Linked DNA regions of Arabidopsis thaliana. The protein of the gene in region 1 interacts with the protein of each later gene in a pairwise test. Each region holds a gene or a part of one and is shown on either strand. Other genes may lie near its edges. The genes, in order: AT1G62520 and AT5G41350.

Region 1 (16,152 bases):
AAACATTTTAATACTATCATTCGATAATTACCTTTAAAATTAAATTCCACGAGTATAAATTAAAATCAAAATTATGGTTAAATAAAATAAAATTTGTCTGTTTTACTTCCGAATGAATCCATAGATTGTTCCGAGGCACGGGAAGCTTTTCGTATGTATCAAATTCACTCGCTCTAGATGCAATGTGAACTTCTTTCGCGACCTTAGCTATGTCCCTACTAATATCGGCACCGCTAGCAAAATTTCCGATGACCACCACCACCTGCCAAAGCACCAACACAAAAATGCTTCTCTTTTTTTTTTTTTTTTGTTAAAAAATCGGATCATACATGAACCTAAATATGATATGAATTATCTCTAACATTTCTAATAATAAAATGTTGTTTGATGGACGATTATGAACATCTCTTGCATGTTCCAGCTAAATTCCTCCGATCTTCTTTTTTCCAGCTAAATTCATAGATATCAAATCGAGAATTCAAATTCAGTATACAAATTACAAAACTTTTGGAAAATATATATGCGTGTCTTTATAACACGTTTCTTGCTACAATATGTTATTTATTCTTATTAATTATTGAATGAGACTTTCTACCCAAAAAAAAAATTATTGAAAGAGACTTTTTTTGGTAGAACTAGTAGAAAAAAACTCATAATAGAAAGTATAAAGGGACTACTATCTTTAAAAAAAAATACAATTACCTCGTTTTCGAATGGCCCAGGAACTCTGTAGTTGTGGCTATGGATCTGCTTTCCTGGCCACGATTTTATACCTAAAGATATAGATAGTTCTGATAGTTTTAGATTATATGTTAGATTGAAGTCTTAAGTTATTCATCAAGATCGGACGATGTATCTAGAAAATTGTAATCTAAAATCCAGCAGTGGCAAATGATTCAATCACTAACTGGTTTTTATAAGGGTAATATTAGAAACTAACTATAAAATTGAAAAGAATCAAGTAACTAACAATTGTCAGTTTTTCTACGGATAAATAACTATATGACGGCATAAGAAAATACAAAACTATCCTTGCAAGTTGAACCAAAAGCAGACTTATGTAGATATATTTGATGTTTTTTAGCAAATCGCATGAAACATGTTAAAATAGCACGATATTTATAAAAAATATGACATTTTATAACGTACATTTTACACAAATAGCATGTTATATAAACAAATATCGTTTTATTTGAAAAGTTGAACCAGGAGCAAGCTTATACGAAGATAAAATAATAGATTTAAGAAAGTTTTAACATTTAAATCATGTTTTTAGAAGAAATTACATGTGATTTAAATAAATAATGTGTTATATGAAAAAGTAGCATGTTGGGAGAGAGAGATTTCTAGTTATCACGTGTAATTCAAAAAAGTATCGTCGTATAAAAGAAAATAACATACAATTTAAAAAGAAAACATAACGACGGAGATTCCAAGAAAGAATCAAAATCGAATAAAAAATGACAAATCTTCTGCAAATTGAAGGAGAGATGATCTATCAATATAAATAACGTTTGAGAGCCTAGATTTATCGAAAAAGAGATCGGGTGGTTGTGATGGTGGAAGATGTGGTGGTTGTGGTGATGGGAGAAAGAAAGATGAGATGATTCTAAGTGTTTTATTTGATTTTGAAAAATACCATGTAATATATATAAAATACGAAAAATGGGTAAAAAAGTAATTGCAAGTGAAGAAAGAGAGTGTGGTCTGACACCATGGCTATTTTGTTAGTTCTTTTACAATCCATAGTTTTATAAAAAATGTTACATAAATATATGTGAGAAAACAAAGTTATTTTTTTAAAAATAAAATAAGTAGTTAGAAAATGATCTTTACCAGGAATATGAGCAACGTTTGGTTCTGTATAGTGTCCACTGCAAACAACAACGGCGTCAAAGATCTCATCGTGGGAAACACCGCCAGAGGTTTTAGACCAGACCCTCCATTTCCCGTTAACCGGTTCAACCCGAACCACCTCGATCTCGAACCGAACCATCTCCTCTAGGTTAAACTCTCTAGCAAAGTCTTGAAGGTACGCAAGAACTTCCATGTGGCTCGGATACCGTCTCGAGTCTCTTGACTCGTCATCGAAACGAGGCACAAAAGGGAAGTCCGTGAAACCCATACATTCTCGTGGGAGGTTGGTTCGGAGAGACTCGTACACGCTCGAGTGGACTATGGAACGGGTTGGGTCAAGGCTAAGCGGGTCGGATTCGGCTTTGGGTGAATAGATCCAGAGACCTCCTACTTCTTTCTCCCGCTCTAATACGACAACAGTGTGACCTTCACGACTGAGCTCCCTAGCCGCTACGAGACCGGCTGCTCCGGCTCCGATGACTACCACGTGTTGAGAACTGATCGGGTTTTGAGCTGGTGCCATATATTTGAACTTTATGGTATGGTGGATTTTTCTTTATTTGGTAGGAGACTGTCGTATGATCTCTGTGTTTTGGTTAAAGGTCGTTCCGTGCTATTAATGGGCTTATATAATAGAACTGAAACAAGATGGCTAATCATCATCATTTTCGTACTTTAACCAAAAACAAAAAAAAAACCATCTTTGTTGTAAGAACAATATACTTCATACAAAAATATTCGATCATTCTATTGTAAAAATGGAAGGGGAAATATCCGAAAAAGCACAATTTATTTTGTTATAAAATTAGCTGAAATTGTTTTGTTGTCAGAACAATACACAAACTAATTTAACTTAATAAAAGAATATGATCGAATTTAAAATCTGATTTTCTTCATTCAACAACCGTTACCGGTGTAAACCAAATCGTCAAAATAGAGTATATAGGCATGGCTGCCAGCTTGAACTAAAATAGTAAGAGACTTTTGACGGATCTAGGAGTAGTGAAGCATAGTGATCCGATGTTGATGTTTTGTGATAGGAAATCAGCATTGCACATTGCTGTTAACCCAATGTTCTATGAGAAAACTAAAAATATCAAAGCGGATTATCTTAGTATAAGAGATGTGGTTCAATATTATTACATATAATGTTCGAACCACATAGCCTTGAGAAGTTCCTGTTTTAGCTACTTGTCCAAGTTGAGCGTTTGTGATTTACATATATACTCAAACTTGAAAGGAAGTGTTAAAGTTTTATATGGTTCTACAATTTTCGGAGATATATGTTTATTAATTAGAGTGGGTACGGGATAAATCTTATGTTAAGATAAGGATTAGTAAGTTTAGTGCTTAAATTAATATATATAATTGTGTATTAGTGTATATATATATTGGTGCATGTGATCAATAAACTTAACTTTTCCCAAATCATCTTGAATTTTGAAACCATATTGAAAAACCATTGTTAAAAATATTTTCAATAACTGGATATTAAAATATTTTCCACAATCAATACTTCAATAGTTCTAGTTTTAAAATTCATAATAGAAAAACATAGGATTTATCATTTTAACATTAATTATTTAAAATGTGTGATTAAATTCATATATACCTCAAATGAAGAAAGAGAAGGAAGAAAAATATTTCATCCATTTCAAAATGTAAGATGTTTTGGAAGTTAGGACAGAGATTGATAAAATTTATGCTTTTAGTCAAATATATATTTTTAATAAGAAATACTCGGTGAAAGCCAATGAAGAAAAACAGTCATTTAATTCTTTATAAACCTTTTAGATAAAACTTTTTAATTAATATTTCTTTTATATGAAGATATGAAAACATCTATATTTTGACTCAAAAGAAAAACTCTAAAACAACTTATATCCCGTTTTAAAACGGAAAGAGTAAGTTTTAGCTTGGATATTACAATTTCTTAATTACATTTACCGATTTACGGACCTTGATTGCATTTTGAAAGGGACGGGCCATGGACCCAGACCTAACCGCAAATGGATGGACACGTACCCTCTCTTTCATTTATCTTCTTCAACGAATAGCCACCTAAAAGTACGAAGGCTTGGACCGTTCGGTTAATTGCGTTTTGTGGGTTGAGTGAAATATTTAATAAGCTTACTATTTAAATCGTCAAGTCATGTTATTTCAGTCTTTGCATAATTCACGTGTTTTGCTACCCGGCAAAATCGGCAACTTTATCTCAATCATTGTAGAATCAAGTGAAGAATAAACGTGACACAACTACCCGATTTTTGTTTGTAGCTTGTACATTTCTTCCTTTATTTTTTTTTGACATCCGTAAATTTCTTTTTTCTTTTTAGTAAATTTCTTGATTTTTTCTAATCCAGAAAAATCAAATTCTGACTTTATCCATCAATAATAGAGTTTTATGCAAAAAAAAAAACAATCTTAAAATCAACAATTTTTCAACTACCATTCATGTCGAAAAAATGCAAAATCATATGAAGTAAAAAAATAATACGGTATTGTATATAGCCTATTTTAACAACTTTACATATATTGATTTCATATAATTATTCTGTATTTTTTGGACGTGAAGGATAAAATTACAAAAATAAACGATTTTGACGTTTTTTGGTACAAAAACCATCAATAACATGGTCTTAGATCTTAACCATATATGGTTCCTACAAAAGTCTTATACATTAACTTTGTGTAGGTGATCAATCTACATCAATAATTTGGTCTTGTAGGGATTCTTCAAAAGTCATCATGTAGGAAACATTTTTAAGATACATTAGTCGATCAAGCATCCCTTACCCTTGGGTATAATAACTAGAGCATATAGATCAAAGATTGGACTACCGAGTAAAGCATCATGAGCAGTAAAAACAAGAGTTATCCGCGAAAGTAATGTCGGTTTTATATGTGATAACGCATGCTTGAGTTCGAGTACGAAAAAGAAAAATAACAAATTTGATAAACCGATAGCGAGGAAGGCTTTTCGAAAAAAAGCAGAGTCAAAACTTGTTTTTATCTTTTATCGTTCTATATTATTTTTGATAATTTTGATGATATGTTTGTATAATTGGTTTGAAAACTTGTTTTTTCTCCTTAACGTCTTAATAAATGAAACAGAGTAATAAAGAAACAGAGTAAAAAAAACAGAAATACAGAGAAAACGGACTGCAAAACATAATAGATTAGAACCAAAGACAAAACGGAAAAAGCTCATCCCATGCAAGAGTTGTACTTTAGACGTCATCGACTCGAACGGCTTTCCACTGCTATCCGTTCATGCAACCAAGCCGGACCACCCAACGCTAGGTATGAAAACTTGTTTAGAAATAATAAAAGACGTTAAAAAATCAAACTCTCAAAAGATAACTAGCAACAGTTTCTCACTCTTTCCAAGCAATATAAATGGGCCTTGGACCCTATTTTGCAAAACTAAAATATAAATTGAAGGCCCTTATAAGCTAATGAAGTTGATAAAACGAAAAAAGTTTGGCCTTGTGCCGTGGGCAGAGCCCATAAACCGGCCTGACTTCATGCCTTATATAGATTACATAGATCTACTATTTGTTTTGGTAATTAGATTTCTTTGTTACCATAACCATTTGCTCGCTCTTTTATTTTTATTTTGGGCAGCTTTTATTGTTTTTGGCAGTCTTGCTCGCTCAACCTAAATTTCCAAATCTAACATAAAAACAATTCAAATTTCCTCTGAGTCAAATTACAAAAGGAAATATACAATCATTGTGAACACAAAGAAAACAATTGAATATACAATGATAACTAGAAAAAATGGAAACAAAAATATTAGAATCTAAAATATTTTTGTTTTAATATAAGAAAGTGTTTTGCTTATGCCATTGATGGAAATAGAAAAATTATTGTATGGTTTTTGATATTCTTTTGAAAGTATGTCTTTGAGTTATAAAAAAATAAAAAGGATAGAAACGAAGTTGATATATATAAACATAAAAATGTTTGCTAATTGTGCCCACTAACACAATAATAACCACTAATTCTCAATCTCTCTAAAAATAAAAAATAATAAAGAGAAACACTTCTCGCTCCTCATGGTAAGATTTCTTCTGTAATTCCTATAACCCTATACAAACAGACCTGACATATATATATATATATATCTGTTGATTACATCTCAAAGACTCTAACCATGAATATTGTCTTACTAAGATTACTTCTATTTGTCTCATAGGTCTGTTGGTCAATCTAACAATTGAAAGCTGCAATTTTATTTTCTGGGTAATGATTCTTCTCTCTTGTTTTCCCTATTAAAATTATACTGTCTTTGAATTAGTTTTTGAATTATTCATAGTAGGAATATATTGATTTTTCCTCATTATATATTAATTGTTCTTTTGTCGATAATTTTGGTTAGTCATCATTGAAATCTCCGGTAAAAGTCATACTTAATGATCAAAATCATTTCTTTGTTAGTGTCACGAAATTTGCATGTTTAGAATAGATGCATAAGAAGAGAAATTGATTCTCTCTGTCTATGTATGTGAATGATCAATACAAGTTCAGTTTTTCATGAAATTTTCTGCAAATTAGGAAGGTTTTTCAAAGGATTTTGGATTCAGAACCTTTGAAAATCTGAATATATTTACTTTTAAACAATGATTAATGGTTTTAGTTACTTCTAATTAGATCAGTACCTGATAAAAATCTTAGTCAAATTTGTTATTCGATTTTAGTTCTTGATAATGGTTCTGTACAGCAATATTCAATAGTTATTTATATTTGTCATGTTAGAAGTTATGCAGCCATAGATTATGTGTATACATTTTCATAGCTAGTTTTCTTTTGTAAATGAAATCATTTGGAATCTGTAAAGGCCTGATTCTAGGGTTTAAGCTCGATTCTCTGTTCCAATTTTTGTGGCAATGTCACAGTTCTAACGATTTAGTTGATGTTTTGAGTATGGATTGTCTCATTATATATCCATTGCATTTGATAGAGAGACGTCCTATGGAGAAAATAAGACAAAAGGCATTGTAATGTATCTCCACGGTTTGTCCAAGGACGAAATTTTGTGCAAGAAACGTTTTGAATCGTATGAAGAAAGTTCTAAGAAAAATCAAATTAGAATGGTCACTCTTTTTGGGCAGCAGGTAAAGATTTTTAACGTTATGTCGCTAGTATACTATTTTAAATCTTTTTGTTCTCATTGTTGCCTTTGTTCTTAATTAAAATAGCAAAAATACATGTTCATCAACTCTCATTTCAGGTGTATACAGCAAGAGACGAGAGCTTTGTGTCGTGTAATGAGCAGGTGAATAGAAACTGCCTTAATCCACTGATGGAAGATTGTGATCTTCAACTTCCTGAAAATCATGAAAGCGTCGAATACCGAGAATTCCACAGCATTGGTTCTTCCCAAGATAGCATAGATTTGAGGATTGAAGCATATGGCACAAATTTGTGTGGCAAGAAAAGTGAGAAAGTGAATATTTCAGATGGATCATGTTTGCTGGATCTTAATAAACCCCCGGCTTACGAGCCGGTTTCAATTGATCATCAATGCGGTTTAGATGGTGTACATGAAAAAGATTGTTCAGCATCTCCAGCTTCATGTTGCACCGCAGAAAACAATTCAAGGACTGAAGGAGAAGATTCGTGTGAAGTAATTCAAATGGCAGCTGAATGTTTAGTCCACATCTCAGCTGTTTCTCATAATCAAAGTCACGGTGTCCAAGAACCGGGTCGTTCTTGCGATTCATTTGAGCTACATACTTTAGAAATAAGAGAAACTGTCCCTGAAGAGCTCTGTTGTGTATCATCAAAGGCCATATATGACTTCAGTAAGAAGAAAGAGTTTGGAGTCAAGCTGAGAAGAGGGAGGAGAATGAAGAATTTCCAAAAGGAGATACTCCCGGAGCTTGTATCGCTCTCTAGACATGAGATTCGAGAAGATATTAACCTCTTAGAGACGGTTTTTAGATCGAGAGATTACAAGAAAATGCAGGGGAAGACTAAAGATGGAAAATGCAAACCAAACCTGAGAAACACCAAAGGTTTGACTCAAACGTATGTAGGTAAAAGAAGGAGATGATGAAATTCACGGTGCTTGAGGTCTTATAGACATTTGCTCTAGCTCCATTGGTTTAGCTTTAACATATAGCAGTTTTCAAAATCATTCACTATATTGAAAGTTAGAGGAGGAAGTTGGAACTTTGTTCGAGTCTATGATCTTCAAAGATTAGTTGGTTCTTTTAAATTCTTGAAAGATTCGCTAGGACTGATTCCGTAAATTATTTTATGGGCCTAATGGGCCCAACAGGCCTAATTGTTTTTTTTTTTACATCAACAGGCCTAAATTTTACGCTTCTGTTATTTCTTCAATTTTTCATCACTTGTGCATTCTAAATATTCTTCTCCCTGCGGATCCAATGTAACTTTCATGATTTCTCATTTTCAATTTTTACTCTTTTTCTCTTCTTCTTTTTTTGACTTTAAATCTTTTACAAATGCTCTTTAGTGGGAATCACTTTTCACTGATTATTCCTTCTTTTGAACTACTCTCATCTCTCAGTTAAAATTTTGAAATTATTTATTTTATATTAAAGAAACGTTACAAAATTTGAAATTTTCCAACTATAGCTTTTCGCTTTAAGGAAGTAGTCGTGTAAGTAACGTAAAAGATATTTTAGTGGATAAAATATTTTACTATAGATGGAAGAAAATTGAATGTAGAATCAAAACCCAACTGTAAAAATTAATAACAATTGACTGTGTAATAAAATCTATTAATGGCATTGTAAAAGCCAACGCACCAAAATATTCACTATTTACGACATCATTTAATAAGAAAATATTTTACTACTAGTTGGGAAAGAAAGAAAGAAAGAAAATCTACTAATTGCCATTTTTTCTTGTCGTCAACAAAATTAATTACCATTTATCAACACAATTTTCTACCAATTTTACATTGGAAATAAAAACAAATCCCTAAACATTAGGGGAAAATTGCGTTGATAAATGAAATTACAATGTCAAAAAGTTAGAAACTAAAATAACTTTTATTTTTTTGAATTTTTACAACCGATAGATTATGAGAAAACAAGGCAACACCGCACGTGTATCGAACACGAGCAACTCTCCGTCGTCACCACTCACTGAGTCAAACCGTGACCTCAAATCCGAGTCATACTTTAACTCGTTTTGCTTAGTGACCCGACCCGCTATGACCCGACAAACCAACATTGCCTTCCTCCCTTTCCCACCGCCAGCTTTCTCATTCGCCGTGCTACTTCCGGCAAACGTATATATCGACGCGCCACCGCCTTTTCCTCCCAAAATACCCCACGCGCTGCCACCTCCACCGTAACTTGGACCCAAACAGTAAAACCTCATTGTTTCATTCCCGTCGGCAACCGAACGCGCGTTCTCTTCACGCGCTTTCCCCACGCTCCTAGCTTTCACGGCTTCACGATACTCTTCGAACCGGGTCAAAGTCTTAGACCCGTTTTGCACTTTGAAAATCATTTCGACCCGACCCGAAAACGGTTTCGGACCCCAGCTCGTCTGAAAGATAATCTCCACCACATTACGTGACTGATGACCTTCCGATAGCTCCGTCAATGTCGGTAAAAACGGATCACGATCACGAACTCCGGTTGATCGGATCCGGGTTGATGGTGATAAAACCGGGTCGGTTTCTCGTTTATCCGGTTTTGGATTGGGTTTCTTCGGTTTAGGTTTGGGTTTTTTGGTTTCGATCACATCTTTTAGACTCTGTGTGCTTTTTCTGCAACTGTAGCTTGACATGAGATGTTTCGGACTCGGGCTCGGATTCGGGTTCGGGTTTTTAATCGGATTGTAAACATCATCGAAAGCTTTCGACTTGCATTGTAACGATTTGACCCACCCATTTGCCATAATCAAGATCCGGAACCAAAGCTCTCTGTTTTTTGTTTTTCTTTCAGTCTCTCTCTCTCTCTTTAAAAACTTGGAAAAGAAACAGAAGCAGAAGAAGAAAGCAACATGGCGCGATGATGATGATGAATATTAAAAGTGTACGTCGAAACTTGGGAGTGTAAATTACGGTATTACCCTTTAGTTTAATATAACATAGTAATTTTTTACAACATAAATTTATTTTTTTGATTTATGTAAGATGATTCTACGATATGACCCCATTCCTTCATATCACTTTTGTCTTATTGATTTTAAGTTTTTTCAAAAAAATTATAAGAATGGAAAATTTGTTTTTTGATTTTATGTAAGGTAATGCAGAAAAACAAGACGGAAATAAATGTAAGATAAAAATTGACAGCCGGATTTTATTGTTTTTATTTTGGTACAGTCTTGTGATTCTTGTCTTTTTTTTATCATAAATGGATCACAAAAGAACACGAATAACATTTTTTAAAAATACGTCAACTTCGTAACTCTATTTGTTTTTATCTCAACAATAGAATTTCACATGTAATGTCTATTCAAGTCAATTAAGATATCTGGATCTCTTAGTCGATGACAAAAATATTTCGAAATCAACGTAAATTTTACGCTATCTTACAAAAAATATTCAATACAAAATAATGATTTCATTTCAACCTTTTTCTTAGAATACGCATTTCTACTTAATTTGTATATCTTGTTTATCATACAAATTATAAGTTTTCTTCTTGTCATAATTAATTAAAGCTAGTGAGCTAAAACAAAACTATATGTATTTCTAATTTTCTACACCATAGAATTTTGTAAGAATCACGATTCATTGTCGTCTTTGAATCAATCAGTGGTCAATGGTAGCTTGTTTGTAACTTTAAAAGTAAAACACCAAAATAATAAAAGATTCGAAGATGAATTAGAGAAAAATTGCACACAAAAAAAAAAAAAAAAACTATTTCTAACTATCGAAATTGTATATATATAAGCTAGTTTACTGTAACTAATTACTAACTTTGTTACTAACCAAAATGAAAGTCTATTTCAATTTATTTTGTCCTCTCATGGAACCCAAAATTTGATGCAATCTGACTACTGACTAGCTGATGTGTTTTCACAAAACATTGTATCAGTGAGCAAGTGATAAAAGCTATCTAACTTCACAAATTGTGTCTGTCAATGCTGAATATATGTTTCTGCACTACAGCGAGATATAGTTGGCTGCTTTCTGGTTCAGGAGTTCACATAATTTAATTCATAAAATCAACTCAACTAACACTCTGAAATATACACAATATAAATATAATATAGAGAAAATTGTATACTACTCACTAGGATATGCGTATCTTAATCACTTGTCATGCTACTAATATAAAAATAATTGTTTGCTTTTAAAAATAGGAGGAATCTTTAGAATTTTGAGATTTACAAAAACAAAATGGAAGAATAGAAGAATAGAAAGAGAATGGAAGCTGCCAACGACGGACTATTAAAACAAATCGCACTGAAAATTTTGAAATTCTCACATAATGACACCCATTTTCTTATCTGTCGTCTTCCTCTTATTTTTTCTTAATTACACACTTAAATTAATAATTATAATAATCTATACCCTGATGATATTACAATTGCCTTGTCTAACATAAGTAAGCATTTGACTAATTAGTGATTAATGCGTATATATGACATTGTTGGTTCTGAATAGTGTTCAAATATTTTGTAAATCCGTTTGTGTCACTCAATATATAATCTATCATACCGTGAAAATTTCAATTTCAATGACAATTTAGAAAGTTTCTTAGTATGAACGATTATACACTTCAACAGTATGTATCATGTATGATGCGAGTTTAAATTCGAGTGACGGTGCATCGACGATACTAACACAAATTACTATACTACATGTTTGATCTTAGATATTATAAAGATTTAGGTTGCCACTAATTATATTTTAAAGTTTCTATTTGACGCAATTGCTTAGTTTATACAGATGATAAGTGTTTTGTTATACTATATGTCTATATATATGTAGAAGACATATTTTAAATATGATCTTCTACTTAAATATTGCTTTACTTTATGTGACAATAATTGTTATTATCTTTAGTTAAATTTTATACCAACCATATGATTCACAGCTCAGTATGAATATATATGCATTTATAAGAATTGATACACAAAGCTCCGGAATTTATCGAATATATATATAACCATGCCAGAGTTATACCAGCTTAATTTGGTTGTATTAGTATATAATAAATCGTAAAAATGAGATATTAAGTGTGTTTATGAGAAAATGTGTATGTAAAAAAAAAAACAGACATTAGAAGTTAGAACCCAAAAAAAATATCAGACATGTGCATTAAAAACCGTATATACACTATACTTGAAATCTTATGGTGAAAATATTTTTTTAGTAGTAAGAAACTTTTGGGAGAGTGGGTCGTGTAGTAACATGAGGAGGCCACAACGTTGATATATGTAAACACATAATTAAAGCAATTCTAGTAAACTATTACGAAAAACTAAACAAAAGAATAGAATAATACATACTCCCATCCCGCACGTAATCATAAATGGTTTGAATTCATGTCCATACTTGACTCAAAGTATTTAAATACTAAAGTCTAAACATCACTACGCATCCTTAACTTTTAGAAATCTATTCAAAATGACTCTCACTATCTATATTGGAAAAGTAGATCCATTTTATCAAAATTCCGATTAATTCAATATCATAAGAAGTATATATAACTAGTGAAATACTCTATAATTAAATTATTAAACAAAGAAATGTAACTATAGATAGTCGTTAAAACTTTAAACTCAACAAACTATATGTAGTATACTAAACAAATTAAACGTACAAATATATATTAATTTTAAATTAATTAAGCAAATCAATAAAATTTGGTAGAAAGTTCAAAGTGGTATATACTAAACCAACTAATACATATATATTGTAAACTGTATATATATGGACTAAGCTGGTAGATTCCAAAGTTTAGGGTTGCGTTGTTACTTGGAAAAGTTCAGTGACTACTTTGTGCAATCTAAGTATCTCTAGGGCTTAGTTTGCCATTTTCACTTTCATATTCAAATTGCATGAATAGTAATAGTATATTATAAAGTGTGTAATGATTATAAGATCCAAACTAAGTAAATAAATAAATCAAATATGGATGGAGCTAGTTTGGAATTGAAATAAAAAGGAGAGCCAAGGAGGAAGTTTGGTTGGGTAGAAACTAGGGTTTTGTGAAAGATGTAAGTTTGTAATTGTAATGTTTTTTTTTTCGACAGCCTTTTAACTTCACGCTTTGCCCTAAGAATCTTCTTGGTCTCCTCCGGGAACGGTGTTCAAATTTTAATCCTCCTTTTTTGTTTTTTAATCCTCAGTAACCGATTTACGTATATAATCCTGGAAGAAATAATCTCAACCAAAAATAAAATGTGACACTAGTTACTAGTTACGAGTGACACAAGTTGAATATCTCGAAAAAAATAGTTGGACGGTTGGACATTTAATTTGATATATTTTTTCAAATGGGTATACATCTATATGGTCAATATCAGCACCCCATTTTTCATTAGTTGATCTGTATTAGGATATACTTCAAATAATGAGATGTAATACTATTCTACCATATAAGGAAATCTCATTATGTATAAATACTCTTCTTATGTTAATGAATAAATCAAGTTCTTTTTAATTATATCATGGTATTAGAACCATCCAATCGTTGGATCATCCAGTGGATGTTGTTTCAACATATATCTACGCTTCAGAGCCAATAATATCTGAACGTAAGAAGGGTGTTAATGAAGAAAATCCCACATCGAAACTTGGAGAAATTATTAAGTAGTATATAAAGGGTTAGAACCACTCCATCTATTGCCCAGATTAGGTCGCTGGTACCATGTTAAAAACCCAAATCTATCATGGTAGCAGTGACCTAATTTGTTTTTTAAATGGCCGTCGTTGCTTGGCTTCAGCAACCGCCGCCTTTGTTCTAAAATCATTAACCTAGCCACCGATGTACTAACTAGTGTTGCTTCCATTATCTTCTATTTTCTACAATTTTTAAACTATAAATATATTTGATTTTACCAGTTATCTATTAAACCTAGCTACTATTGCCTCGTTTTCCATAAAAGCCACCGCTGCAGCCGTTTAACTTCTTCTTTGCCGCTGCTTCACAAGCTGTCGCACGTCTATCTTCTACCGTTTCTACAAGCCATTGGTGTCGTTGTTTTCTATGAAAGCCACAAGCTGCCGCTTCACTTCTTTTACTTTGTTGTCGTTTTACAAGTCGACGCTCTTCTATTTTCTACACATATGTTTGAAAATTTATTGTCCAAATTGGTGCTCGAAATTTCAGATCACCAAGTTGAAGGAGGGTATTAGGATATATTAGGATAAATTTAAAATATTGAGATGTGATACGATTCTATCGTATAAAAAAATCTCATTATGTATAAATACTTTTCTTATGTTAATGAATAAACCAAGTCTTTCTAAATTATATCATGATGGTATCATTTTTCCACATTACGGCTTTAAAGCGTGACGGTTTATTTTTACTAATAAACTACTGGCTATCAAGTTTGTAAGAGGTTGGTTCAAATGGTATAGAACATAAACCATTAATATGATTATTTTTGATGAACAAAATATTTAAAATCAGAATAAAAGTAATCATTTAAAAAAAAAGAATCAAAGCTCAATAATTAATAAGGTTCAGATCTTGTTGTTTTGGAGTTTACAACGTGTGAATTCAGAAATAACAGTCAATAATTTTTTTGATCTATGAAATAATAAATACAGTTTTATTTCATTATGAGCTCCCAATAGCTAGGTTTGGTTTCATTTGAAAAATGGATTTCAAAATTAAAATCTATCAATGCTAGAATCTATCAACATGATGCATTCCAATCTAAAGAGCTTTTAATGTACCAATTACATTTTTTCACCATATTTCAAGAATTCAAAGAACTTACGCTGACAAGAACGTACGCTGTTTATGCAGAGGTTGACCAAAAAAAGTATATTTATTGATGATTACAATCTCAATATATCACATATACACACACCTCTTATACAGTTATAATTTCCCTTCCATCTCTTTCTATTAAACAGAAGTACAATATAACTATAATTAGCATCCCACTCTTTCCTATATAGGCGATCAAATATCCTGCAAATCAATTAATGAAAAAACAATGATAGATTCATAACAAAATTCGATATTGGTAGGGTTGATAGATACTGGTACGGTTTTGCAATACTTGAATTTTGGGCCATTTGATGGGCGAAGGCCCAATATGTCCATGTGATTTTGCAATGGTTAAAATATTGGGCCAATTTTATGGATGAAGGCCCAAAACTCAAGAGTGTCAACTGTCGAGTATTGATTGAAGTGCAAATGAATTAAAAAATGGTTTTGTTATACAATGTGAACAAAAAATATTTTAACAATATATGGTACATGTAAAATTTTTAGATTATTACACTACTGAATTTACAAATCTTTCATTTTGTGTGATTTGATATAAAAAATGTCAAACGACAAGAAAGGTTAAGAAAATTCTTCGGAAACATTTTAAAAAGTAAATCTCAAAATCAATAACATCCGAAAAATACACAAACATAAAAAAAAAGGTTCAAAACCTATAATTGTAGATTATGTAAATAATTATAGGTTTAAAATAAAATGACTTCCACCTTCCACACAAAATGTTTGTGTACAGAAATTAATGTGTTTTGACACACAAGTTCATAATCTATAGAATGGATCATCTTTTGTCATCCATGCACACGTGTACGAATTGTAAATAAGACATCTTTAGTAATCTATGTGAAGTAGGCCTTTTATGTATTATCATATATCATCTTATATTGTTTTCAATTGTTTTTTCTTTTTTGAAGAAAATGTAAAATTTATTCGGAAAAAATGTGTTTACTCAACGGAAATTTGATCGATTTTAAGTTACATAAACTGAAAAAGTAAAAGAGAAACCAGCCTCCTTCAATTGTTTCGTGAAGGGCACAAAGAGAATCAGCAGCTCCACTATCACATATTCTGAATAATGTTCATTTCTTTGAAACATTAAAGTATGGAGATTGAACATCATGGTTAGAAATGTTTATCTCTTTGTTAACATTATTGTATGGAAGTAGAACATCGCAGTTGGAGTTTCTTTGAGAACTGTAAATGTATGGAGATTGAAAATTACGGCTTGACATCTTTTACATTCCAAACGGCTTAACTTTTTTTTTGCTTTTTTCTAGAGTATATATAATCTTACAACATTTAACAAACACATTGAACATTTAATTAGAAAACAACCAAAGGTTAATAACAAAAATTTGAAATGTTTCAAACAACTTCTACATAT
Region 2 (17,609 bases), on another chromosome or scaffold:
CATTCATGGGCTCAACACTGGATACACCTTCTCAACGAACATATGACTTTTCCGCAAAATAACTACCAGCAAACACTAACATCAATTTGATTACCTCATCCATGAGCAGTAACCCCCACTCTCTGTTTCTCATTTCTTCTATAATCTTCTCTGATTCCTCAGACCGTTTACCACCAAAGGCAACCATATTATAGGTTGTCACAACAACACCAGCATTTCCACGGAATCGTTCTTTACTATCAGAAGTGAAACGACATATTTGGTCATCTCTTATAGTAGACCACAACTTGAACTGGAAGGCCCACTGATCCACTGAGACAGCATTCGTCGCCAAACAAAGACAACTCTTCTTTATACGAGCAGCTGCAGAAACACCAACTAGAGATTTACCAGCACCACAAGGCAACACTATAATCCCAGATCTTGCTCGCCCTGCAAATCCAAGATTCAAGATCAGTCACAATATTTCTCAAGAAATTACAAAGATAATTATCTATTAGGTGTTCACCATAAAGCTAGATCAGTCACGTGGAAGTACAAGTGGACATATCTATGAGAAGTTCACCATCAATAAGGAAAAATAATGTGGATGCAGACAGCTATACCGTTCCCAAACATTTTGCTCAAACTTTTTTCCTGGTATGGCCTCGGTTGTGCATGGGGCTTCAGTTCCATGTCAAGATCGGGATTAACCTGAGAGACACCATCAAGTTATTAACAATCACACACCTGCGGTGCATATCATCTGGTAAGCAAAAATTGGCCTGAAGTGTAATATTTGTTACTCACATTGTCGTTCCTGAAGTCATATTCCTCTAACATAGGGTAATTCAAGGCATTTGGTAAGCAACGCTGCTTCACATTCTCCACCTAAACACCAAGAGAAAAAGAGCATGACACCACGAGTTAAGTAAAGATCATACAACTTTACCAAACTCATCAATTCGATTACTTTTAAGAAGCATTAGGAGAAATTTACCTGTGCAGGGTCAATCTCAAATGAGTGAGTTTCTTTCTCTTCTGCTGCTGCTGCAAATTCCGCTTCATTCAATAGCTCCCCGGGTCCTGCTTCAAGTTCACCGCATGTTCTGCCGACCGAGAATCCATCACCGCCATAATATGGCTACCAAAAAAGTTAATCTAAGTTGGTTCGACATACTGTGGAGAATACAATGGTATTAGATTAAATAAATCAACAGTCAATGAATCAAGAGTTTAAGAAAAAAGGATTATGAGTTAATTTACCAACTGAAACATCGTTCCAAGGAACTTAGGAGTTAGGAATATAAACATGAAACCAAGAACCTGAGAGAATCAAAATATATATATATCTGCCACACTGGTGACAAAAGATGCAAAACACCGTTGAGAACAACCAAAAATGGTATGTATTTCCATCCAGCATAAAATCTTGAAAGCAAACATAATGAACTAAATGGAGGAGTTCAACATACCTCAGAAGAAAATCTAGCTCGGTTTATAACATCGTCGCTGAGAAGCCTTTTCAAAACCTGAGATTGTTTTGTGTTTACAATTGAGCAAAGGCAATGGAAAAACGAAAACCAATATCCAAATACACAAGAGCAGAGACAGAGCATCAGCCTAATGAACTTACCTCTGGGAATGGGGACTCAATAAAATACCGATTCTTCTTCAAAACCAGCTTTACTTTCCCATAATTAGCAGTAGAAGCATGGATGAACTCAATCATCTCCTTGGGTAGCTTAGTCTTAGACAGTTTATTCAAAACAGAAATGATAGTTTCTGTCTCAAGACCAACGGAAACAGCAGCATACAACGAGTGTGGGGTTAAATTATACTCGTGCATTGACTCAGGCCTGAAATAGTAACAAATGAATGAAAATCAACAACAAAAATCATAACTTGTACATTGATATAATCACCAAATCAAAATCGAACCTGCAAACGGGTTCAGCAATGGCGATAAGAAAGTCATAAGCTTGTTTATAGAGAGGAGAAAATGTCTCCAAGAAAATCCTTCCATCAGCACAAGCCCACAAAGGCCTGTTTCCATGATCTGGCTTCAACTCCAATTTAGTAAAATCTCTCTTCTTCTCCTCTCCTTCACCTTCAAAAACCATTATAACTTTTCAATTCAATTTTGTTCCAAATGTATCCATTTGTAAGTAATAAGTATGCTACAATCTTACCATCACGAGAGTCTTCATCAGCATCATCATAGTAATCTTCAGCGTTTTGGATGTTCTTCATCTTTTGATCATCCTGAGATTTGACAGTACAATTACACTCACTAACTACCATCTGAAGAGCCCTAATTGATAAAATAAAAAATTGATCTGGAGAAGAATCAAGACGAACCTTGCCACCATACTTCATCTTCTTGTTAGGTCTTCCTCTTTCACCTGAACAACAGAACTTCACAGTATTGGCATACTTTTGTTTGGCAAGATAAACTAAGCAAAAATCAGTAAGATCGAGCTGCTTAATACCGTTTCCCATATTGATCTTCTTTTTTTGTCTTGTATCTTCCAATTGAAGTTATCAATTAGCGATTCCTGAGAAGAACAAAGAAGGAAGACAACCGGCGCCGTGAAAATTTACCGTTGAAAGCTATTTGGCGGAGGGAGTAGCTGCGTCCCCGGCGGATTTTGAATCGGATTCGGTGTCGGGTTCGGGTATCACTGGTTTAATCATTAATGTCAAGGAAGGGAAATGTAAAGTAGAAGATTCAAAAGGCTACAAATAAATAACGGATCAAATATGGGCTTTAATAGACCTCTTTTAATGTGGGCTTTCTTATTCTCACGTTGAGCCCATTCTTTTTTCTTTTAGCCTCTAAGATTATTCTTACATATGCAAAATGGGAGATGAAAGACAAACCATAGGATGAGGAAGGAAAGCGCATGAGAGCATGCACATAGTTGGTACTCATAGAGTACCATTAATAATATTTTACTATTAATTTTAATGTTTATTTATTGTTTGAAACTTTTTATAATATTGATAATAAATCTGTTTCCACCGGTGAAATCGTATTAGTATCATTAAAAAAAAAAAATTGCAAAATCGAAAAGATGCGTTTTCCCGACTAATCGAAAAAAAAAATTTCTCTCTTTTCACACAAAAACATGTTTTCCCAACTAATCATAACCCGCCACGTTATCAGAGACTGGTATCAAAGAAATCACTCCAGTGATACTACTTAAACCCAAATCAGTTATTTTATTCATTAATTTAATATTTTTGGGCTTATGATACTCATAAAAATTGTGCAATGTACATGGTCTGAGAATGGGAGACGATTCAATGCCCAAAGAGTTGCCACGTTCTTCTCCTTCTCAAGTGACACAAAGTATGAACCAAGAGGAGACCAATGTACATCCAACGCTCCTGCACAAGACAAATAGCATTACATTACCCCATCTGCAGCAGTATATAATCTCGGTCCCTTAGAGCATCCTCATTGCATATCTTTTATGGGTGTCTTTAAACTTTTAAACTACTTAAAAAAGTGGAAAATAATAAATGGATGTGTCTTAATAGTAGACATTTTACCTGTCAAAAGAGAGAGGGTCTTTAAATTTAATATTATTTAATATGAAAGACATTCATTGGAGGATGTGCAATGAGGATGCTCTTACCTTGGTCATATAGACATTATCTGGATGCACAAAAGAAGCAAGACCTTCTTCTTACCAACGTCTCAAAAACATGTCGGGCCTTCTTCTTACGATTTGGATAACATCTTAACAACTGGGCCATAACGGATGACTAATTGACCCAGATCTTCTTCATCAGTACGACACTTAAAAGAAAAAACACACAGAGTCGGGTCTTCTTCATCTTTCACCTGAACAACAAAATTCCCCAGAATTGACAATACTTTTTTTTGCAGGGTAATATGAAAATTAACCAAAATCAGTAAGATCGAGACTTTTATCGTTCCCCATATTGATCTTTTTCTCTTCATCGAATCAATTTTAGACATTATCTCTTGTCTTTTCAATCGATTATATCAATCCGGTGTCGAAGACAGAAATTCTACGACAGAGGGAAAACAAACGGTACCGTAAATATTTTCCGTTGTAAGCTAGACCGAGAAGCGAGCTGCGTCTCCGTCGCATTATGATTCGGATTCGGTGTCGGGTCCAGGTCCGGGTATGTCGAGTCCGTTACTGAGTTGATGTGATCATGTGAATGCAGAGAACGTTATAGCAGAAATGCAAACTCGATTCATATATAGAAAGGCTACAATAACGGATCCAATATGGGCATTTAGTAGGCCTCTTTTAGCGTGGGCTTTCTTTAATCTCAAATTGAGCCCATTATTATTTTTAATTCGAAATCATGACAAGTAATTATTTTTTAACCTCGAAAACTAAGTACGTTTTACTGTTGTTCAGGATCTGTCAACCAAATTATAATCGTGTTTTATATGTTGGTTCAGCGAGATATCATGACAGTTGACAATAACAAAATAATTTTCAAAGGTATTCTCGAGGCGATATCATGATATGCTAGAAAACAAATATCAAAAAAAAGGAAAGAACTTTCTAATATCAATTAATCAATTCACATAATAAAACAAATATCAAATGTTAACGGTCTTTTAAGGTAGGGTGTCTTCGTTTAGGTTTTCTTGATTTTGTGCCTGAAACAAATTTGCACCAAAGTTACAACTCAAAACATATAGCCGAATATGAGTTCTCTTGTCTCAAACATAACGTTTTTTGAAGATATTGTGTCGTTTGGTTGGGTCTTTAGGTTTCTTGGATTGGTTACCAGATTTTTGACGACCTGAGTTGTATTCCATGTAGACCCTTCCATTTGCACCGGACATTGCACTCATCGATCCCATGCTTCGTCGCGTCTTTAGAGCCTTTCCATCTGTGTCTTCTTCAAGTTGTTCTAAACCAACCATATCGTCTCCAGCATTCAACACCTTTCCGAGAAGAGACAACTGTTCTTCTTGACTGTGGTAGCCCAAGCTTGAACCCGCGTCCGGAGGTGGGAGGCTTGTTATTACCTTGAAGCTATAACCTTGGTCGATCAAAAACTGCTGTCTTTTCGTTGAATAATACATTTCCTGCATTTCAACATTCACGATCCTTACATCAGTCATTCTCCATTCAATCAGTCATTCGATTTTTATCGGTTCAGGAATTCAAGTCACGGGTTCTGGAAAGCAAAATTTTTTCTGTGTTTTGGAAACGAGTGCGGACTAGAACTGAATTATATTTTGGTTCTGATTTGGTCTGATGAATTTCAGTTTTTATGGCTACTTCAACAATAAAGTGATTTACCTGTGTATCGGTAGAAACAAGCGAGTAGAAGAATGCATTGTACTCTTCTTTTCCACCAGCCATTCTATCTTCAAGTTTACCCTGTTTTTGATCACGGAGAAATAAAACGTGTTGGATCCAACAACCAAGAGGAACTCTAGGAGAGACGCAAAATGTGATGAGTTATAATACTTAAAATCACACCTTAGCCCTAAGGATACGACCCAAACGTTGAGCCTCTTGACGTCTAGAACCAGCATGTGACGAAATCTGGATGATCACATTCGCTTCAGGGATATCTATGGAGTTATCACCAACCTGTAGTCAATAAAAGAAACCGAAACTAAGTTACTTGATGAAAATGGAATGAACAAGTCTCTATATATTCCCAGGTCAATGGAAAGGAAACAACGCTAATACCTTTGACAGGAATACAGTGTTCACGGTTTTACTGGTTTTAAACGCCTCGAGAATTTTTGTTCGTTCGATATGGCTACATATTGAACAAAGAGAACTATCAGATTGGAAACTGAGTGAAACATACAAAATTGTGCTCTCAATAGGTGGTTCTTTAACGAACCTGGTTGCACCGTAAATCATCGGTTTCCGGAGTTTCATTGCATACTCTGTAAGTGCAAAAAGATTGTCTGCAAAGACGATGATTTTATCCCCACGTTGTTGTTCATGGAAACGTATCAAAAATTCACAGGCTCTGAACTTGTTAGGGTTCATGACATAAAGCGCCTGCAGACACCAGAAGACAAGATATGTAAATGTCAGAACAATTGAAGGGGTTTCCTAGTTTCTATTACAGGGTGATCTATTAGAAGCATTTGCCAAATTATAAGACATACACAAATAACCTATAATATTGATGTTTACCATATTATAAGGTTCTAGACTACATCAAATTCATGGACTCTAGTGTATCAAAACAAACAAACATAAAATAAGATAGTCAATTATTTTAAGATCTTTATCCAGTAAAAATATCCAAGGAAAACAAAGATCAATGCGGAGAAAGCTTAGACGCATTAACCTGTTTTTTTTTCGAGTTCTCTTTCTTCAGATATTCTGCAAAAAACTCTTTGGTCATGGGACACCATACTTCAGCACACTGAACATTTGCAATAAAGCCTCCTTTAACTAAATCTAGCCAATTGGCTTCATAGAGTTTCGGGCCAATGAGGAAGTTTAAATCTGTAATTTTTTCGTCTTCTCTCACAAGGGTGGCTGAACAAAAGACCAAAAAAGAGACTTAGCTTCTGCAACTGAAGTATAACAAATAAAAAGGTATGTGAAAATGAATTTTTCATTTACCTGTAAGTCCTAGCTTGCAGTGAGATTTTGTAATACTGATAACTTTCCTAAACATATGGGCTGGAACCACATGCACCTATGAAAAACATAACTCTTAAAATGTCACGCATTGGATGGAAACTTGTTATTTGTAGATCCCAGTAACACTGGATAGTGGATACACATTCTAAATGAACCACATATAACTTTTCCGCAATGTAAACTACCAGTAAACACTAACTTCAATTCAAAGGCACATCACACTAAGAACAATTTGATTACCTCGTCCATAAGCAGCAACCCCCACTCTCTGTTTCTCATTTCTTCTATAATCTTCTCTGCTTCTTCAGATCGTTTACCACCAAAGGCAATCATATTATAGGTTGTCACAACAACACCAGCATTTCCACGGAATCGTTCTTTACTATCAGAAGTGAAACGGCATATTTGGTCATCTTTTATAGTAGACCACAACTTAAATTGGTAGGCCCATTGATCCACCGAGACAGCATTCGTTGCCAAACAAAGACAACTCTTCTTTATACGAGCCGCTGCAGAAACACCAACTAGAGATTTACCAGCTCCACAAGGTAACACTATAATCCCAGATCTTGCTCGTCCTGCAGAATCAGGAGTCTAGATCAGTCACAAGCTTTCAGGAGAAATAACAAAGATACTTATCTATTAGAAGTTCACAATGAAGCTAGATCAGAACAGTGTATGAAAGTACAAATCTATATATCTAAGAGAAGTTCACAATCAATTTAGCAGTCGCTGTAAACAAATTACTAAGGAAAATAAATGCGGGCGTAGACAGTTATATCGTATTACCGTTTCCAAACATTTTGCTCAAACTTTTTTCCTGGTATGGCCTTGGTTGTGCATGGGGCTTCAGTTCCATGTCAAGATCAGGATTAACCTGACAGACACCATCAAGTTATTAACAATCACGAACATCCAGTTCATATCATCTGATAAGTAAAAATTGACCTGAAGTGTGATAATTATTTCTCACATTATCGTTCCTGAAGTCATATTCCTCTAACATAGGGTAATTCAAGGCATTTGGCAAGCAACGCTGCTTAACATTCTCCACCTACACACCAAGAGCAGAAGAACATGACACCGTGAGTTGAGTAAAGATCATATAACATTAACAAAGTCATCAACACGATTTATTTCAGAAGCATTAGGGGAAATTTACCAGTGCAGGGTCTATCTCAAATGAGTGAGTTTCTTTCTCTTCTGCTGCTGCTGCCAATTCTGCTTCATTCAACAACTCCCCAGGTCCTGCTTCAAGTTCACCACTTGTTTTGCCGATCGTAAATCCATCACCACCATAATATGGCTAGAAAAAAAGTTAATAAGTTGGTTCAACATACTGTGGAGAATACAATGGTATAAGAGATATCAATTTCACATTCAATGAACCAAGGAGTTTAAAAAGAAGGATAATGAGTTTATTTATCTATTAAATAGTTCAAGAAAAAATTAGAATTTAAACACGAAACCAATAGCCCCAAGAGAATCAGGATAGATCTCTCTGCCGCATTGGTATCAAAAGATGCAAAAACTGTTGAGAACAACAGATCATGGTATGTATTTCCATCCAGTAATAGTAAACATAAAGCACTAAATTGAGGAGTTCAACATACCTCAGAAGTAAATCTTGCTCGATTTATGACATCATCACTGAGAAGCCTTTTCAACACCTAAGATTGTTTATATTTAACGAGTGAGCAAAACCAACAGAGAAACTACACAAAAATCCCATACGCATAACTAGAGAAAGAGGATCAGTCTGGTGAACTTACCTCCGGGAATGGTGATTCAATAAAATACCGATTTTTCTTCAATACCAACTTCACTTTCCCATAATTAGCAGTAGAAGCATGGATGAAATCAATGATCTCCCCGGGTAGCTTGGTCTTAGATAGCTTATTCAAAACAGAGATGATAGTTTCTGTCTCAAGACCAACGGAAACAGCAGCATACAACGAGTGTGGGGTTAAATTATACTCGTGCATTGACTCAGGCCTGAAATAGTAACAAATGAATGAAAATCAACAACAAAAATCATAACTTGTACATTGATATAATAATCAAATCAAAATCAAACCTGCAAACGGGTTCAGCAATGGCGATAAGAAAGTCATAAGCTTGTTTATAGAGAGGAGAAAATGTCTCCAAGAAAATCTTTCCATCAGCACAAGCCCACAAAGGCCTATTTCCATGATCCGGCTTCAACTCCAAATCAGTAAAATCTCTCCTCTTCTCCTCTCCTTCACCTTTAAAAACCATTATAAATTCTATTTCAATTTTGTTCCCAATGTATCTATGTTAATTATACGAGAGTAATCAATATTACCATCACGAGAATCCTCATCAGCATCATCATAGTAATCTTCAACGTTTTGTATGTTCTTCATCTTTTGATCATCCTGAGATTTTTACAGTACAATTACACTAACTAGAAGTGAAGAGCCTAATAAATAAAAAAAGTCATGTGGAGAAGAATCAACACGAACCTTCCCACCGTACTTCATCTTCTTTGTAGGTCGTTTTCTTTCATCTAAACATCAACATTTTCCCCAGTATTAGCATACTCTTTTCACCGGATAATTCAATAAACGAATCAAAACTCAGTACGATCGAGATTCGAGACCATTACCGTTTCCCATATTGATTTTCTTCTTTTCGCTCCTCTTAATCAAATCGATTTTAGGGATTGTTTCTCTTGTATTTTCAATTTGTGAATTCGCACATAACCTAAATTGTACGACGGAGGGAATATACAACCGTCTTCGTGGTAATTTCCCGTTGTAAGCTATTCAACGAAGCAAGCTGCGTCTCCGGCGAATTCGGATTCCTGTGTCGAGTCGGTGACTCGTTTGAAGCGGAGGAAGGAAATTGTTAAGCAGAAACGTAAGAACACGATTCATATATAAAGGCTGCAGTAACAGATCAAATATGGGCTTTTAATAGGATTCTTTAAATGGGCTTTATTCTTAAGTTTGAGCCCATGTTTCTTTTTTAAACATCGATAAATTATTTGCCGGAAAAAAAATAGTAATAATTTTACTGAAAATGGTACTTCCCAATTTATAATTTTTTGGTCGACACTTTTCAGCCGATTTTCAGTTATGTAATTTCATTATTGAAATTTTGAAAAATACATTGTAACGGAAAAAATAAAATAATTAATCAGCTAATTAATAATTGTATTAATGAATTTAATAAATCAGGTAAGTAAATATAATATTGAGCCCAAAAAGAGTCTTTGTAATTTCTTAGGAAAGTCATTTTGATAGAGCGCACGATAAACACAGCACCGCAAAAAGCACAGAAGCAGAGAAAGACGAAGACAAAACAAAAAAAGCTTCCCCCAAGAACAAAAAGTAAAATTCTCTCTATGATTTTGAGATTTTTAATTCCTCTTCTCTGATTCAATCTCGAGAAGATGATCGGTTCTTCTTTGGTGTTTGTTCTTGCTAGTGATCGCTTTTCTTTAGGTTTTGAGCTTGATTTTTGTGTGAAATTCTGTGGGTTTTTTTTTTACTGTTTTGATCCGTATTTCTCCTATGTGTTTATGCTAGATTCTGAGAATTCTGATGTTTATTGTTGCTTTTATAAGTTTCGGTTTAGGGTTTTACGGATTAGCTTGCTCTTAATGGAGCTTTGGTTCTTTTTGTGGATTCATTGTTTGTGTTGGAGTTAAATTCTGAGTAGAATTGTTTTAAGTTTTTGGGGTTTAGTGTAAAACTGATTTGAATTTATTGCAATTGTGTGTAGATGGTGCTAAAGAGAATGAGAATTGTAGGAGATTCACATAGGCTTGTAGTCGCAACACTGTTGTCTCGATTTTAATGGTTGATGTTTATTGTATCTTTGATTATTGAGAGTGAATTTGAACTGTTAGTAGCTGAATTGTTTTATTGTTGCTACTAGCATGATGAGTCTGATCAGACTTTAGTAGACAGCTCAAACTGATATCGAAAACGATAAAGCTTGTTTGAGTTTCTTGCATATAGATGATAAATATTCTCCTACTGATCTCAGAATGTAATTTGTTTCTTCACATATCTTGTAGGTTAGCATAGATGAAGAGTCTTCGGGTTTTGTAGTTTTTGTAAAACAGAAAAAAAAAAAAAGAGAAGAAGAGATGGGAGGTTGCTGTTGTTGTTCTTCTTCACGAAGAGCTGATGTAGATAATGGACCTGCGTACTACTACGTTAGTCTGATACTTCTCCCACTTCCTCGTTTTTTTTGGGTGTCCTTGCTTTGATAGGCTGCAAATAAATCAATCTTGATGTGCTTCAGGACACTAAATGAGTTAAAAGCCCCAACGGGCTTCGAGATTCATATGGGAATATAACTTGTTTTATGACTTGTATTTTGCAGTACCCAAGGGCAACAGAAGAGCGTGTGCCTTTATCTTCCGCTCATAACAGGACTTCCTCTGCAATCTCTACTGGTGTTGTAGTAGTAGACACAAACTTAGAGACATCATCTCCTGATGCTTATATACCACCGCCACTGCCTACCCCTTTCGATGTGCCTATAGGGATTCCTCAAACACCAGCTAGTGGTGAAGAGGCTACTTGTGTTGATATAAGAGAGGTTTCGGTGGACTCTGCTAATACCGAGTCTGCTCAAGAAACAGTTGATGGTATTACTCTCGGGGTTCCAACTACATGCTCACATAAAGAGACAGATAGCAAAATCCAAACAGAGATTGATCTTGAATCTACTGAAGAAATAGACCCGAAGCTATCAAAAGCTGTTTTTATACCAATAGAGGAAGAGGAGGATTGTCCCATATGTTTGGAAGGTAAAAGCTTGTTTGCCTTTCCCACATCTCAAAAACATATAAACATAATCGTACCTTACATGACTGCGAGAATGGGTTATTTATTATATTGTCTGTGCTTTTGATTCAGAATATGATATCGAGAACCCGAAACTTGTAGCCAAATGTGATCACCATTTTCACCTTGCATGCATTCTAGAATGGATGGAGAGAAGTGAAACCTGCCCCGTCTGCAACAAGGTACATTCTTTTATTCACTTCTCTTTGGTGTATGTCGAAAAACTCTAATCTCTAAGTAAACCGTAAATAATGAGTAGTTCCAATTTAGCTTGTTTACAAATTCATTTTAATTCCCGGGATATGTCTGAGAGGATCCGTTTGTTCTGCAGGAAATGGTATTTGACTCTACTCTTGACTAGCAACCCGCAAATGCCGCATCTTAGAAGGCTCAATTCTCTCTGTATCAGAAGAAAGAAATTGGAGAACAAGAGAAAAACTTAAAAAGAAAAAATGGGTAAGAATACACTAATAGCTGATCACAAAGTTGGATTTACGAAACATGTCAGTGTTGATATACATATGTTTGTGTACAGACGTTTCAAATCGTCTACAAAAAAACGGAGATTAAGAATTAGAGTTTGTGCTTTAGATTCACTTCTGTGAATAAAAAACGAGACAAAACTGATAATTTTTCTTCTAGATGTTTTAATTTTGGTAATTCTTGTTTATAGGTTATTTTAGGAGTGTTTTAAAGCTGGGGTTTCAATTTGGGTTTGATTCAGTTTTTTCTTGAGTTTAAGAAAAATATTAATCAAACTGAAATTGAGAGTTTGTTATGTATGGATTGGGTTTATTACGGTTCGATTTTAGTTTGGTTTAGTGCTTATTTATTTTCTTTATGTTGTTCTGTGATATGTAATATGAAAATTGTTTATACTTACTAGTTTGTAGTGTTTATGTTTTAGATTTCTTAGTTCTTCACATTTTCGAAACTTGGTTTGTTTAGTTGTCTCATTAGTTGAATATGTGATGTCGTATTGTCGTACATCTTACTTACATGAGTACGTCAAATTAAATGAGACTTATCTAGTAAATGATATTGTTACATGTAGATGCAATATTAGTCATTGCTTTGTTTAATAAATAATATTTGTCACAAGTGAGTAAGTGACAGATGAATAGTTGCTAATTATAGTGAATCATGCTAATGGTATATTGGACAAATATTTTTATTTTTTAAAAAATTTCCTGTCTAATTTGTTTTTTCTAGTTAAATACTTATACAGATTCATGTTTTTAGACTGTAATCGGGCATGACCATCCAACTATTTTTGTCGACCAACAACTTCAACGCGCCAGAAAAGCGTTTTGAGTGACCATTACTGTGTAAAACAGTATAAAATAGAGGTTTTTTTGTCACGCCATTGGTTTAAATGAAAAATTAAATTTAACAAAATTGAAAACTTTAAAAATAATAAAATCAGATAAACATAAGCGAACAACGAATAAAATGTGCAAAAAAAATCACCAAGTAAAGTAATTTGTATAAAAATATTCTTAGGGTTCTAGTTACTAATTTGTATACAAAACATAACACCAAGTAAAGTAATTGCTGTAAAAAACACTAATTAACATATTCTTAAGAATTATAAACACTAATACTTAGAGATACTTTAGGTACTTATATCGAGTAATATTTTGACTGAAAATTTACTATTTGACTATTCAAATATGTTATCTTAAGCCATTACAATCTCAAATACAAAAGAAAAAGAAACAAAAAAGAGGAAAAATTAGGGAAGTAATAATGAGAGTTTAATATTCTTAGTTAAATAGATTATACTAATAAATAATGAGGTATACAAATAGTTACTGATTTTAATGAATCATCATAAATAGTATATTAAACGTTTTTTAAAAATTTCTTAAAAATTATTTTTTTGAACTAAATACTTTACAGATTCAAGTTTTATAAAATATATTCCGAAAATATCTACGTGTTCGAAAAATATTTATTTTACGTTCAATTGATTCATTGTTTCAATGTCATTTATTATTAGACTATAAATATAGTTTAACTATGTGATTAAAAACCTTTTCTAAAATTTAATAATAATTACTATAAAACTTTATAGATTTAAAAGAAATAACAAAAATATGATCTAACTTTGGGAGAAAATAATTAAAAATTTTTAGGGAGAAAGTAATTGAAAAAGCAAAACAAAATCACAAAATTTATTACTAGTGAAGGGAGTGAGATTCTTATTTCTAACAAAGGATATATATTTAGAGATACGATCTCCTTCGGTGGTTCACTCCCATCATCGATGTACGTGAAAATATATAAATAAAAAATCAATAAACGAAAATCTTTCCTTTTTCTCTCACACATTTTTCTTCATCTCCACTCGAATCCGGAAGAAGAACAAAAACCAAAAAAAAAACCCAGAAAATCAGAGAAACATAAGCGAACCGACAGAGAAAAAAAATGTCTTCGCCAAGCAAACGCAGAGAAATGGATATGATGAAGCTGTAATAACTTTCTAATTTTTTTCTCTGTCGGTTTCATTTGTTACTTTTGATTTGAGTTTTTTGTTTCTATGATTGATTTGATTTGATTTTATATTGCAGGATGATGAGCGATTATAAAGTGGAAACGATCAACGATGGCATGCAAGAATTCTATGTTGAATTCAATGGTCCCAAAGACAGTAAGATTGATCTTGTCTGAGAATAATCCCCAGTTTCGTTGATTGTTGTCTCTAAATCAGTCACTAGTGTGCTATTTTGATTCTGTTACTTGTGAAAATGATGATAAGGGTATTTGTAATTCTTCCTGGTTTTCTTAGATTTTGTTCATATTAGTGTCAAAATTGCAATCCGTTATTTGTGGTGGATTCGGATCTACGGCGGTTCGATTCCACCATGTTTACACACTGTGTGTGGTTTACTTACTCGTGGTGGGCTTGCGAGTTTGCTCACCACGGGATTAGTTAGGCGCTTCGGCGAAGTTCGGTTGGGATACTCGGGTGTTAGTTGTGAAGAACTGTTGTTAAACTATTATTTGTGGGTTTAATGTGTGTGTTGGTGATAGGTCTCTATCAAGGAGGTGTGTGGAAGATAAGAGTTGAGCTTCCAGATGCTTATCCTTATAAATCTCCATCTGTTGGTTTCATTACTAAAATTTATCATCCTAATGTTGATGAACTGTAAGTCTTTTTAAATTCAATCCACTAGATGTTTTGGATCAATTTATTTCAATCTTTTTCATCTTTGGTCTCCTTTGTTTATGCAGGTCGGGTTCTGTTTGTTTAGATGTGATTAACCAAACTTGGAGTCCTATGTTCGGTAAGGGCGATATCAAATGTGGTTTATTTTGAATATTTGGGATCAAATGATTGCTGTTGTGATTTAACTTTATGTTTTTGGTTCTTCTTTTTTTCAGACCTTGTGAATGTGTTTGAGACATTTCTTCCTCAGCTTCTTCTGTATCCAAACCCATCAGATCCATTGAATGGAGAAGCTGCTGCGTTAATGATGCGTGATCGTCCTGCTTATGAGCAACGAGTTAAAGGTAAGTCGACTCAGATTCTCATGTTAAGAGATATATCAAGATTCTGACAAATCTGTTAGTTTCTTTCTCTTTTTCTTTTATTTGCTTGATGTGAGGTACACATATTTGCTTGGACCTGTTCTTAATGTGTGCGTTCGAGATTACCATTCTTAACACTAAGAGTTCCTCTCAGTCATTTTTCGTTTTAATGAATTAGAGCTTTTGTTTGGTTTATGTGTGAACTGAACTTTCGTAAATCTTGGAGCTAATGTAATGATCTGCAAGTGATTTATTCATTAGAATCTCATGATGAAGATAAAAGTTTCTGATCATTTTAAAGACTTAGGCATTTACAAGGTCTTGATAATGTTATGGGGATATTACGGTTTTTGGGGATATTTTGAGGAAGTGTGATGGTTATTTTGCTCGGCTTTGTTGGGTTTGCGGTTTCAGAATACTGTGAGAAGTATGCAAAGCCAGGGGAAGGTTCAGAAGATAAGTCTAGCGATGAAGAACTAAGTGAAGAGGAATACGGCTCAGATAATGAGGATGATGATGATGATGATGTTGCAATTGCTGGCAAACCAGATCCTTGAACCAGCTTTGGTAGGGGACTTGTTTTATTGTATATGATCATGAATTATCTCTGCTTATAACTCAACTGTGAAATCTATTTCTCCCTTTGTGCTTTGTTCACCTGTTTAATTTATCGGACCGGACGTTTGTGTACATTATTAGACCGAACCGAATTGTTAGTCTTTTCAATTTCAAATAAGTCTCTCTTACCGGTTTATACCGGTTATTGATTCGGTAATTTCTTTTCTTGAAGGCTATATGCATCGTTTAGATTATAAACGCATTGTACATATCCGTCTCAATAGCCAAAATTTACTAAACGCATTGTTCGTTTTGATTTGATGATCTCATCCACTTCAGTGGCCGTGTTAGCCTTGTACAAGTAAAAACTGTTCCTCTTCTCTGAAGTTTCACTGTTTATCCGTCTTATCATCCTCTGCCAAAAAAAAAAAAAAAAAAAGCGAAGAACGTCTTCTGATTTGCTCGTATGAATTTTCCGACGATCCCTCATGAATCGAACGTTGTCTCCATCAACGTCGGAGGCCGAATCTTTCAAACAACGAAGCAAACCTTAAGCCTAGCCGGAACCGATTCTCTCCTATCTCAACTCGCTACTGAGACAACTCGTTTCGTCGATCGTGATCCCGATTTGTTCTCCGTTCTTCTCTATATCCTCCGTACCGGAAACCTACCTGCTAGATCACGCGCCTTCGATGTTCGTGATCTCATCGATGAATCTAGATACTATGGAATCGAGTCTTTCTTAATCGATTCTCTCTCGAATTCGTCGCAGTTCGAGCCGTTCGATCTCCGTAGATCTAGGATTCTTCAATTGAACGGTCGAGATTCTCCGTCGAGTATCTCACCGACTGTAATCGGCGGAGGTCTCCACGTGGCGCACGGTAGCAAAATCACTTCGTTTGATTGGTCGTTGAGGCAAAAGTCGACTGTGTTGACTAATTTCTCCGCCGTGGATTCGCTTCTAGAGATATCTCCGGGAGTTTTAGCTGCCGGAGCTACCGATTTCCCTGGTTTGCAAATCATCGATCTCGATAACGGCGGATTCGTTCGTACGACTCTGAATTGGGAAAACGTTACTAGGTCTAGCTCAACGGTTCAAGCCATAGGTTCTTCTCATGAGTTTTTGTTCACTAGCTTTGAATCTAGTAGAAGGAACTCGAATTCGATTATGGTGTATGACCTTTCTAGCTTGTTACCTGTGTCTGAGATTGATCATTGTGAGATCTATGGCGCTGATATTGATTCTGCGATTCCATCGACTAAGTTGAAATGGATTCAGAGTTGTAATTTGTTGATGGTTTCTGGTTCTCATACTAGTCCTTCTGGTGTCAATGGTCACATAAGGTTTTGGGATGTTAGGTCAAGGAATATGGTTTGGGAGATTAAGGAGGCACAAGATTGTTTCTCTGATGTTACTGTCTCGGATAATCTCTCGGCGGTGTTCAAGGTCGGTGTGACTTCAGGGGAAGTTTTCTACGCCGATTTGAGGAGTTTAGGAACTAAGGATCCATGGGTTTGTCTTGGGGAAGAGAAGAAGAGAAACTTGAATGAAAGAAGAGGAGTTGGGTCTAAGATAGAGAGCTATGGGAATCATGTGTTTTGCAGTAGTAAAGGAAGTGGGATAGAGCTTTGGTCTGAAGTGATCACGGGTTTGGTGGGGAATGCAAGCCGGGATGTATTGGAAGAGAGGGTTTTTAGGAAGAATTCGTTGGGAAAATTAGCGGATTCAGGAGAAAACAAGATAACAGGATTGGCGTTTGGAGGAAATAGAATGTTTGTGACCCGAAAGGATCAGCAGTCTGTTCAGGTTTGGCAAAGTCCTAGTCGTGGAATATCTATCTAATGAGCAAGTATTAAGCTTTGGTTCGAGGTGATCACGAGTTGCTTAAAGCCGAATCCAACAAAAACTAGTTAGCGACTTACATTGTGTTAAAGAAGAATGAATGATCTTAATCCCAATACTTGATGAAGCTATTCCAACCATGAATTTCTTATCTCTGATAATCTTATAAAAAGGACTTACATCGTTCGTCAGACGAGGCTGTGAAGGATGTTTGCATTCTAACGACATGACCTTATACAAGTA

Evidence for each region.
Region 2: the proteins of AT1G62520 (region 1) and AT5G41350 interact in a two-hybrid assay, tested with the Arabidopsis thaliana proteins (one large-scale study listed by BioGRID).

What each region holds. Positions count from the first base shown.
Region 1 is NC_003070.9:23,138,098-23,154,249, reverse strand, and holds AT1G62520 (sulfated surface-like glycoprotein), read right to left. Parts: upstream 9,866-16,152; 5' UTR 9,745-9,865; coding exon 8,902-9,744; 3' UTR 8,719-8,901; downstream 1-8,718. Other genes in the region: FMO GS-OX2 (flavin-monooxygenase glucosinolate S-oxygenase 2), read right to left, coding at 107-262, 703-773, 1,837-2,380; AT1G62530 (hypothetical protein (DUF863)), read left to right, coding at 6,864-6,977, 7,094-7,918.
Region 2 is NC_003076.8:16,536,209-16,553,817, reverse strand, and holds AT5G41350 (RING/U-box superfamily protein), read left to right. Parts: upstream 1-9,845; 5' UTR 9,846-10,429; coding exon 10,430-10,432; intron 10,433-10,606; exon of another isoform or gene 10,607-10,653; coding exon 10,654-10,794; intron 10,795-10,964; coding exon 10,965-11,394; intron 11,395-11,503; coding exon 11,504-11,613; intron 11,614-11,762; coding exon 11,763-11,792; 3' UTR 11,793-12,356; downstream 12,357-17,609. Other genes in the region: XPB1 (DNA repair helicase XPB1-like protein), read right to left, coding at 95-432, 606-693, 790-870, 980-1,123, 1,455-1,511, 1,616-1,838, 1,921-2,089, 2,172-2,244 and 2 more; XPB2 (homolog of Xeroderma pigmentosum complementation group B 2), read right to left, coding at 4,697-5,068, 5,286-5,366, 5,469-5,582, 5,685-5,757, 5,845-6,008, 6,304-6,497, 6,585-6,660, 6,846-7,183 and 9 more; UBC4 (ubiquitin conjugating enzyme 4), read left to right, coding at 13,862-13,905, 14,005-14,084, 14,468-14,582, 14,669-14,721, 14,819-14,947, 15,380-15,522; AT5G41330 (BTB/POZ domain with WD40/YVTN repeat-like protein), read left to right, coding at 15,990-17,366.